Drosophila melanogaster: one gene and its partner. The protein of the gene in region 2 interacts with the protein of the main gene of each other region in a pairwise test. Each region holds a gene or a part of one and is shown on either strand. Other genes may lie near its edges.

What was found. Proteins that work in one complex are often made in the same cells at the same time.
Region 1: the proteins of Zasp66 (region 2) and PpV interact in a two-hybrid assay, tested with the Drosophila melanogaster proteins (one large-scale study listed by BioGRID).

What each region holds. Positions count from the first base shown.
Region 1 is NC_004354.4:6,370,521-6,374,790, forward strand, and holds PpV (protein phosphatase V), read right to left. Parts: upstream 2,396-4,270; 5' UTR 2,297-2,395; coding exon 2,132-2,296; intron 2,044-2,131; coding exon 1,756-2,043; intron 1,668-1,755; coding exon 1,209-1,667; 3' UTR 545-1,208; downstream 1-544. UniProt on the Drosophila melanogaster protein: May be involved in controlling cellularization or in regulating transcription of the genes involved in this process.
Region 2 is NT_037436.4:8,622,278-8,627,506, reverse strand, and holds the start of Zasp66 (Z band alternatively spliced PDZ-motif protein 66), read right to left. Parts: upstream 3,137-5,229; 5' UTR 3,025-3,136; coding exon 2,824-3,024; intron 1,299-2,823; exon of another isoform or gene 1,114-1,298; coding exon of another isoform or gene 997-1,113; intron 547-996; coding exon 398-546; intron 81-397; coding exon 1-80. Other genes in the region: GAPsec (GTPase activating protein, SECIS-dependent read-through), read left to right, coding at 3,733-3,752, 3,820-3,899, 3,958-4,430, 4,573-5,096, 5,149-5,229.

The DNA.
Region 1 (4,270 bases), on a different chromosome or scaffold from region 2:
TTCCTAACATGCACTACTCTGCTAGTGTGATTATTTAGTTTTCTTTTTTTTGTAATTGTTGACCCGGAAACGCACGCGTATATATATATACAAATAGAGAAGTATCCAAAACACTGTGAGCATGGCCAGGTGCCATGGAAAAGCAAGTTGCGAGGAATTATGAATGCCACATGATGATGACCGACCCCAGAATGCGAAAGTCACTCACTTATTTACCTCTTTTTCGCCCCTAATAGAAAGTCTAGTACTTATACATATTTGTTTTTGAGTTGGGACGCTAGAATAAATGTTGGGGCAAAGCAAACCAATATATATGAAAACACAATTGTTGAGATGTTGCAAAGCATGAGAATGAGAATGATTCATGAACGAAAACGAAACGAAATAAATGATATTTATGTAAGAAACTCATAATCGAAATTATTTCAGTGGAACTTTGAATATCGGAGCCGTGTCGCGAAAACGACAGAGACGGATGATGGACATTTTGGGAGCGGAATAAGGGACACCTGGTTTTTCCCACTGATTACCGGACAACGCATTTCGAATTGTCTTTTTTGTTTTAATCATATCGTTTTGATCGGGATCACACAATTGGGTTATTCTTAGTTATTCTTATTTCCTTCAAAGCATTACTAATACAAAATGTACAAAGTATATGATTTTTGTGTTTGTTCACAGAAATAAATATGTAGGTTTGGAATACAAAATAACAAAGTGAATCTCTATATACTTCTTGCTTCCATTAGCATCCGTTATCAGTAAATACAATACTTGGATATACAACTTAAAGAAATCAATTCACGTGTTCCCCTCTCTTTGGACTTGCCGGAAACTAATAACAAAGTTTTTTTTTAACTGTGCTCTTAAGAATTAGATATGTGTTTTTGCCATACAAAAAAAGAGACGAAAATTACAAGTTACAGGTGTGTGTGTGGTGTGTGTGGCTTGTGTTTGCTGTTCTGAGTGTTTGCTATGCTTGGGGTGCTCGTTGCGCACGTTTTGAGTTTAAGGCGTTGAGTTCATGGGTGGTCAAATGAAACGGATCAGTCAGTCGAAGGCTGCACTCCGCTCTGCTCTCCACAAGCGTATATGATTATTAGCCACGATGCCGGAACAGTGGGCGGATCGTATTGGATCGGTATGTGGTATGGTATGTGGTATAGTATTGCGTTGCATCACTTCACATCGCATCACATCAGAACGTTTTACAGGAAGTAGGGCGTTGTGTTCTGCTTGGGTATCACACGCTCCGCATCCGGAACAGCCAGGAAGATCTTCGTCTGCCGCTTCTCCGCCGTTTCGAAGCTAAGAATGGCGGCAACGTTGCCGCAGCGATAGCAATAGTTTGGCGCCGACCACACGGTCACCAGTTTGCCATCAAACATATACTTGATGCCCTCGTTGACCAGCTGATGTGCTCGGCATATGAGGTTCAGATTATTGATCGCCATAAAGTCCTTGGTCACATTGTGGCCAAACAGCCAGCCAGCGCCGCGCGGACTCTGGCCCCAGTACTCCATGTCCTCGGGATCGGACCACACCAGATCGCAGAAGGCACCCTTGTACGGTATCTCGCCGTTGCGATCGATCGTCCTGATCTGGTCCAGTGTAATGATCTCGGGACTCAGGCCACCGTGCACGCACAACACCTCCTCGTCGATGATCTGTGTACATTAGGGGCAGTGGGGTAAACATATATGTAAATGATTAAAAGGGTGTTGTCCACATGAAGTATCCCATAGTTCAACTCACGGCAGCGATGGTAAGCAAATCGAAGACCTTGCAGCAGTATTTCCAGCCATTGGCATTGCCGTACTTGCTGAAGCACTCGTCAAAGAATCCGTACACCTTGGTGATCTGCCGCGTTTCGTGGTTGCCGCGCAGCAGGGTGATCCGGCTGGGATAGCGCGCCTTCAGCGTGAGCAGTCTGGTGAATGTCTCCAGCGAGTAGTAGCCCCTGTCCACGAAGTCGCCCATGAATATGTAGTTGGTATGCGGCACCTGGCCTCCAGTGCGGAACAGCTGCTCCAGGTCGTAGAACTGCAATTTGGGGGTGGAGTGCGATGGCATTGCGTTAGTGGACATTGCAATGACGTAGGAGACGAAGACGGAGGAGATGACCGCTTACCTGGCCATGGATGTCACCGCAAACGGTGACGGGCGTGCTCACGGGCAGGATGTTCGTCTCCTCCAGGAGGATATCGCAGACCATCTCGCATAGCTTCTTCAGCTCGTTCTCCGGCAGGTACTTGCATTTCTTCACGTCTTCTATCCACTTGTCCACGTCGCCCATGATGCCCGCTGCCTGTGAAATCCACGGTAAATCGCCTTAAAACAAGTTAATAAATAAGTATTGGTTGCACGTCCATCTGCGCACCTACGGTCACACTGGCTGGTGTTCAATGGTTATCGAGCAACGGTTATACTGCTGCCCACGGTTAGAGTACTAAAAAATTGATCTAAAGTTTCTTCTATTCTTTTTATTTTAAATACTATTGTTGAGTATTTTATTTGCTTTTGTTTTCCATCGATAAATGGTGCATCAATTTTTTGTTTAGCCGATGCAAGCACCAGTCGCATGGGACGTTCTTATTAGAACTGTATACTTGGTGTGTACACACTGCGTAGCGAGAATGTCACATGTTATCGATAGCTAACACATTTGAATTCAAATTCAAAATATTTAATTACTTTGGCGGTCGATTTTGTGTTTTTCTGTATTGTTTTCTTTGGTTTTGTGGAGGCAAGCGAAATTAGTTGCAATTAGCCTTTAGCCGCCACAAATCATAATTAGTCCGCAATGAAAGCTTTTTAAATCCGTTTATTTTTTAACCCAAACCCATTTACATATATATACATATATATTTTCTTTGGCTTGTTGAAAATAATCACGCTCTTAGATTTTATTGCCATCGCACGCCACGCTACTTGTTCGCTGTTTGTTTTGCAGCTCCGCTCATTTTTCCGGGCAGCAAGTGTTAAGGGTTATGAGAAGCGTGCTGGCATGCGTTTTTCGGCACGGGGTGGCACATGGGTTAATGGCCCTGCAGCTTGTTTAGAGTCTCATTAGCACGCTGCCATTTGATTGTGTTGGCTTCTTTCATTTACTTTTCGCATTCGCTGGATCTGAAGTTGGGAAAATAAACGTGCCATAAAGGTGACAATTCGCGAATCAAGGGAAATTGGTAAAAAAAAAAAAAAAAATGAACGTTTCACGGGTTTCGAAGCACAAAATATATGCAATTTATTCAAAGTTAGGATGCTAAGCATATATTCATAGAAAATAATTGAATTAATTGTTTGTATTCGCATTTAATTGTGGAATCGAATTAAATGCAATATCTTTTAGTTTTGCAAATCGAAACTGTTGTGCTCGCCACCCATCTCTTTCTGCCACCTACTCTCCGTTCCTCTCTATCACTCTCACTCTCTTACTCTCTCTTTCTCCCCCCGGCGAAGATGTCGTGCTCCATCATTAGTGGCGTTACTTTATGCCCTTCCGTTTTGGTATTCAACTTGGGCTTGTTCTCCCAGCTGCTTTTTGTGCTCTTTTGGCCATCTTGCCAGTGCTTTCCATTCAGCCATCCAGCCATCCTGCCCCCCCAATGCTGGCCCCAATCCGCTCGCATCCTTCCATTGTCCTTGCCGCTCTGTATGTCGCTGTTTGTGTCCGCCTGGCACAATGTTGACAATTAAGTTAAACTTGTTTTCTTACTTCGTTTCGTTACGTTTCGCCAATTCCGCTCGCCCTCTAAAAGTCAAAGTCCTGTCGTCTGCGGCTGATGTGGCTGATAATTATGTGCCCCCTGCACGGACGCAAAGGACACGGACGGCGGAACAAGGACAACGGACAGCGGACAGCCTCTTGGCTTTATCTTGCTGCAAACACGGTGCCAAAAATTCTAGAGTTTCGAACAATCGGTTAAAAAAAAAAAAGTCTTGGACTTCATATTTTAACAAATTCCTCGGCTCACAGAGTTTTTTTTTTTGTATTCTCAATTAAACGCAAAAAGATTATTACACCTTCGGCTATTTGAATGGTATTTTCAATATTTTCCTGCTGTGTGCAGTCAGCGGAAAAAAAAAAAAACATTGAGAGCAAGCGATAAATGACCAACAGTTGTGGGTCATTTTATATTTTTGGCATTGTCCGCCTTCTTTGGCCGCGCTGCTCATTTTAGCCGGCTTTTCTCCTCTTCTTCGCCATTGTTGACGTTTTGTTAACTTGTTTTTTCCTGTGCCACTCCGGCCACGCCCCCTTCTCATC
Region 2 (5,229 bases):
CCGGCGGCAAAGTGGAGTTGCTCCGAGATCCAGGACCTGCCTCCTGAGTTGCACCCTGCGTGTAGGCGATTTTGTTGTCCCTGCAATTTAGAATTATTAATATTTGTCATATCACAGACCATACAAAAGAAAAATCAGTTCCTAACGTTTCTTAGTGCAAATTGATCCAAGACGAAGGTTTCCTTTTGGCAATGGAGTAAAACTTAAGTTAAGTTTTTTATACTATGACTATAATCAACTAACTTTTATGATGATAAAAGCCCTGTTTAAAAAACAGAAAACTAAAATGAAGGTGTTCTCTTTACTCAATACACTTGACACTCGTAGAAGAAATTGATGTTAAACATACGGAACTGATTGGTATCTTTGATGCAGATACACGGATTTCCTGGCTCACCTGTGCACCACCAGGCGGATCTCGTTGCCAGCGCCGCGGAACAGCTGCTGTGCATCCGCATGACTCAGGTCGCGTGCGTCGTACTCGCCGATCTTCGAGATGATGTCGCCTCTTAGAAGTTCGCCATGCGCTGGGCTGCCCACTTGCACCTGCAACGGGTGGGGTGGAAAAGGAGGTGGGAAGGTCATTAGACACACATAGTATAGGGTGCAACGGGCTGGTTGCAACCTTGACACAGATTTATGGGTGCCTAAATAGATGCAGACAGAATTATGATCGCCAAAATGTGTGTGTTTACATCGCAGCTCAGTGAAAAGGGGGTAGGTAGGAAAAGTGGAAATTTTCTTCGACTATTCGGTTGCGCCTCAATTAGTTTTACTGGCGTCGCATTTTGGCAACGCTGCAGCGTTTATTGTTGCTGTGCCCGTTTCGCTATTTTGATTTGTTGTTGTTTATTTGGGCGCTGAGAACAAAGCGGCATGCGGGGCACAAAGGCCAATCGCTTTTCCTCAGGCATTTCTTCTCTGGCTCAATTTTGATGAATGGACCACAAGCGACCACAAGGCGACAGTCTCTCTGGTTATATAACGCCCATTTACCCTGGTGATAATTAGCGGCGTGTCCAGATCGTTGCCGCCCACCAAACGAATGCCCCAGGGCGTGGCCTGACCATCGCGCAGTAGCACCACCGCAAACTCATGCAGCTTGGGGCTCATCCTGATGTTGAAGATAGACTGGAAGATCAGACGCTCATCCGATCCAGCGATGGTTTATCCCGAAAATATATATTTATTTTTTATTGTTTATTTTTTTTTCTGGCCTTTTCTGGCCGAGCCGCAGGCGGCGCGCGATTGCAATCCGTTAAGCGTTTTGTTCGATCGCAAAGCTGCTCAAGTACTAATTTTAAAATACAATTCGTATTCCTTTTTGCAGCAACAGCAGCGGCAGCAGAGTACACTGCGCCACAAGTTTGTTTCTTACATACACATATGTACATACATGTACAACTTATATCCGCCGGCAACGGCGACTACATGCTGAGAAACATGAATTCGATTGGCGAATCCTAATCGTTAAATGGGGTTTCCGCTAAGAGCACTCTGAATTTCTCAGAGCGGATGTCGTGGATTCAAAAAGCATCAGGAGCATTTACCTCGGCAAAGCTCATAATTACCACAAGATAATTAGGCGTATACTTGATAAGCGGCTGCATATCAAATTACGCATACGCAGTGTTAATAAACATGATTGCTTGCATGTGTGCCATGTATTTAAAGCTTTACTATTTTCATTATTATATATACCCAAATCGCGAAGAGCATCCGCAAGCCACCACAAACTCAAACCTTTTCCCACATTGTTCCCATTGTTTAATTCGACGTGTGCCCTGCATTTGTGGCATTCTGCATTTCGTTGACCACATTTTAGGGCAGCACTTGATCCAGTTGCACGCTGACCCTGAAGAGATGAATGCCACATATCATCATCTAGGCGAATGCTTTGATGAGCTAGCTCGCCTGATGCAAAAAAGCATAAAAATCAAGTATCTAGGCATCTGTTTTTCCTCGACATTTTCGACTATTTTATTAGTGTTTTATTCCTCTCCGACTTGTTTGCCGAACGATGAGGCAACCAAGAGAGAGTGTAATTAGTTTTAGTTACTGAGGCGGTACTAGCACAACTGCAACAACCAATTCGACACTCTTGCCCAATTTAAATAAGCAAATCATATTAGATTTTTAATGCATTAGTCAATGGAAAAGTCTACGGCCAACGTGACGTATACGCAATATGAACGGGTCAACGGTTGAAGGACGTTGGTTTGTATTAAACATTCTGTCTGCCTCTCGATTTTGGCAACAATTTTACTGTTTACAGCGGAAAAATCTTTTCCTGCCTTTTGGCTTTTCGCTGAATATATACACAATATATGGCTTGCCATTTCATTTTTAATTTTATACATTCTGATTTCGGCACTTTTTGGCTGGCTCTTGAAATGTTTTTACTATTTGCGGCTTGAATTGTTTTCATTTCATTTTCAATTGGAATTCGTGTAATGTTTTTACGGTGACTTTTGCTGTAGATCAGCCTTGAGCGGATTGTAAATCATTCGAAATTCTTCACCCAACGTCTTGCGAATGGTATAAAAGTCATGCCAATGGAAATATAGATCCATCCATCTTTTTTGGGCCATTTTACTTGACCGAAAAGTGCAGCAGTGGCCAATTAATTAGATTTGGCTTGACAAATTTACGAGCCGCAAGGGGCGAAATGTTATTGAACTGATTTCTGAGTCGGCCTGTTGTGAATTGGGGCCACAAATACATTGGAATACGAATAAGAAAAGAACACACGCGCGATGATTGACAAGCCGGGCGATTTGAAAGGGGTTGGGGCTTCCACTTTTCTCGGCCACTTGGACTTACCCCCACGTTTTGCTCATCGGCAAAATGGACGCGCTTCTTCAGTCCGCTGCTGCTGCGCCGCCTGCAGGGCGATGGCAGCGGTACGAGCGGCGGTTTTGGGGTCGGCTGTGGACGATAGGACGTGGGCAATTCGTAACCGGGCACCTTCCAGAAAGCCGGTCGACTGAATGACGCGGACGCCGATGATCTGCTGGTCGTCATTGCTGGCCAGCGACTAGAGTAAACAAAAGAAATGCTCCGCACATTCAGAAATATGCGCTAAATTCTACGATTCGAACGCGTCTGCTCGCGACTGCGTGTGTGTGTGCACTAGTAGGCAATTGAAAAATCAAATAAAAGCGGAGAAAAAATCAGAGAAAATGAGCGAAAACAGAATATTATTATTCATTCAAAATCCAGTGAAATAGTGAGACGCGGAGAATTATGAATGGATTAATTGATGTTTCAGTTAGTAAATTTGATTGAGCAAAGAAAATACATACAAGCAATATCTAATAATCATGATTTAATCATTTTCATTTACAATTTAAACAATAGCGCCTTCAGCTTTACAAGATCTGGCAACCAGCTTAAAAACAGTTTTTCAATTAATTAATTAAAAAGAACAATACAATTAAGACAGAAGGTAATTACATACATTTTTACGAGGACAGTAAACCATTTAAAATTTCGATTTATTTATAAAATTTAATCGTTAAAAACTTTGAATTTTACCGCCCAATGCACTCAAAAATCGATAGTCGCAGAGAATAATCGATTAGAGCTCGAACCATCTGGCAACGCCCATTGTTTTGTTGTGTTTTATACCTGCAGATTTCACCCAGCATAAAACTGAGATAAAGCTTTAATTAATTACACATAGGGGTACTGCAAGATCTCAGCATAGCCCCGCCCACATAAAGCCGCAGCATGTCTATTTTCAAGGCGCGGTAAGCTGTTATTCTAAGCTAATCCAAACTTCTCCGTAAACAAAGACTTTCTCTAACCAAAATGCAGAGTCAAGGAATTTGAGGATGTTTTGGCGGGGCCACAGGATTTAATTGACCTGAAACAACTCAGGAAACTGGCATTTAATGGTAGAAAGCTAAGAGTGCATTTGAAATGTTCAAAATTTGAAGTCTGAGCACTCCACAGGTGTGCCCGATGTGCAGAGTTTTCGAGCACTCAGTTGGAAGCTACTCCTTGGCTATTTGGGGCCTAGGCGCAGTAGTTGGACCACAACCTTGGCCCAAAAGCGAGCCCTGTATAAACAGTTCATCGAGGAGCTAGTCCTGCCCCCCGGACACTCGAGCAATAGAGCTAGCGTAGACGGAGGAGATGGGGACAAAGTCGATTCGGGGGGCGTTGGCCTGCAAGATCATCCGCTGAGCGAGGGACCCGAAAGCGCGTGGAACACGTTCTTCAATGATAACGAGTTTCTACTGCAAATCGACAAGGATGTCCGCCGCTTGTGCCCGGACATATCCTTTTTCCAGCAGCCCACCGATTATCCCTGCGAGATTGTGGTCCACAGCAAAGGAGAGCATGGACGAAGGCTCCACGAACGGGTGGTTCCCGCCGTTCTAAGTTCGGCGAATGTGGAACGCAAGGGCCTCGGCATGACAAAGGTGAGTTCAAGATCGGAATTGTGCTAGACAATAAGCTCAGAATGTGTTGTTTCATTCATGCATACCGTGTGGATTTTAGCAGCAAGTAAGTAAGCCCATCTGGAACTGCCCCAAACCTAATGAATATGTGTGCTCTATATAGATAAATTTGATTACAAAACGCTCCGTTGAAAACTATGCCGCCATGGAGGAGGGCCAAGAGGCTCACTGGGAAGTTGTGCAACGCATTTTGTTCATCTATGCCAAACTAAATCCCGGCCAGGGATATGTCCAGGGCATGAACGAAATCGTGGGACCCATTTACTATGTTATGGCCTCCGATCCTGACCTCACATATCGCGCCCACGCTGAGGCTGATTGTTTCTTTTGTTTTACCGCCCTGATGAGCGAGATAAGAGACTTTTTTATTAAAACACTAGACGACGCAGAAGGCGGCATCAAGTTCATGATGGCCAGGCTATCGAATATGCTGAAATCAAAGGACCTAAGCATTTACGAGCTACTCAGGAGCCAAGAGCTGCATCCGCAGTATTACAGCTTCAGGTGGCTCACACTGCTCCTGTCGCAGGAGTTTCCACTGCCAGATGTACTGCGCATTTGGGATTCCGTGTTTGCGGACGAACAGCGATTTGATTTTCTGATAAAAATATGCTGTTCAATGATATTGTAAGTAAACTTAGCTTTAGTATAAAGCAAGAACTAATATGAAATTTTGCAGAATCCAAAGGGAAGCAATTTTGGAAAACGACTTTGCCTCGAATGTGAAACTCTTGCAAAACTATCCGCCAATTGACATTAA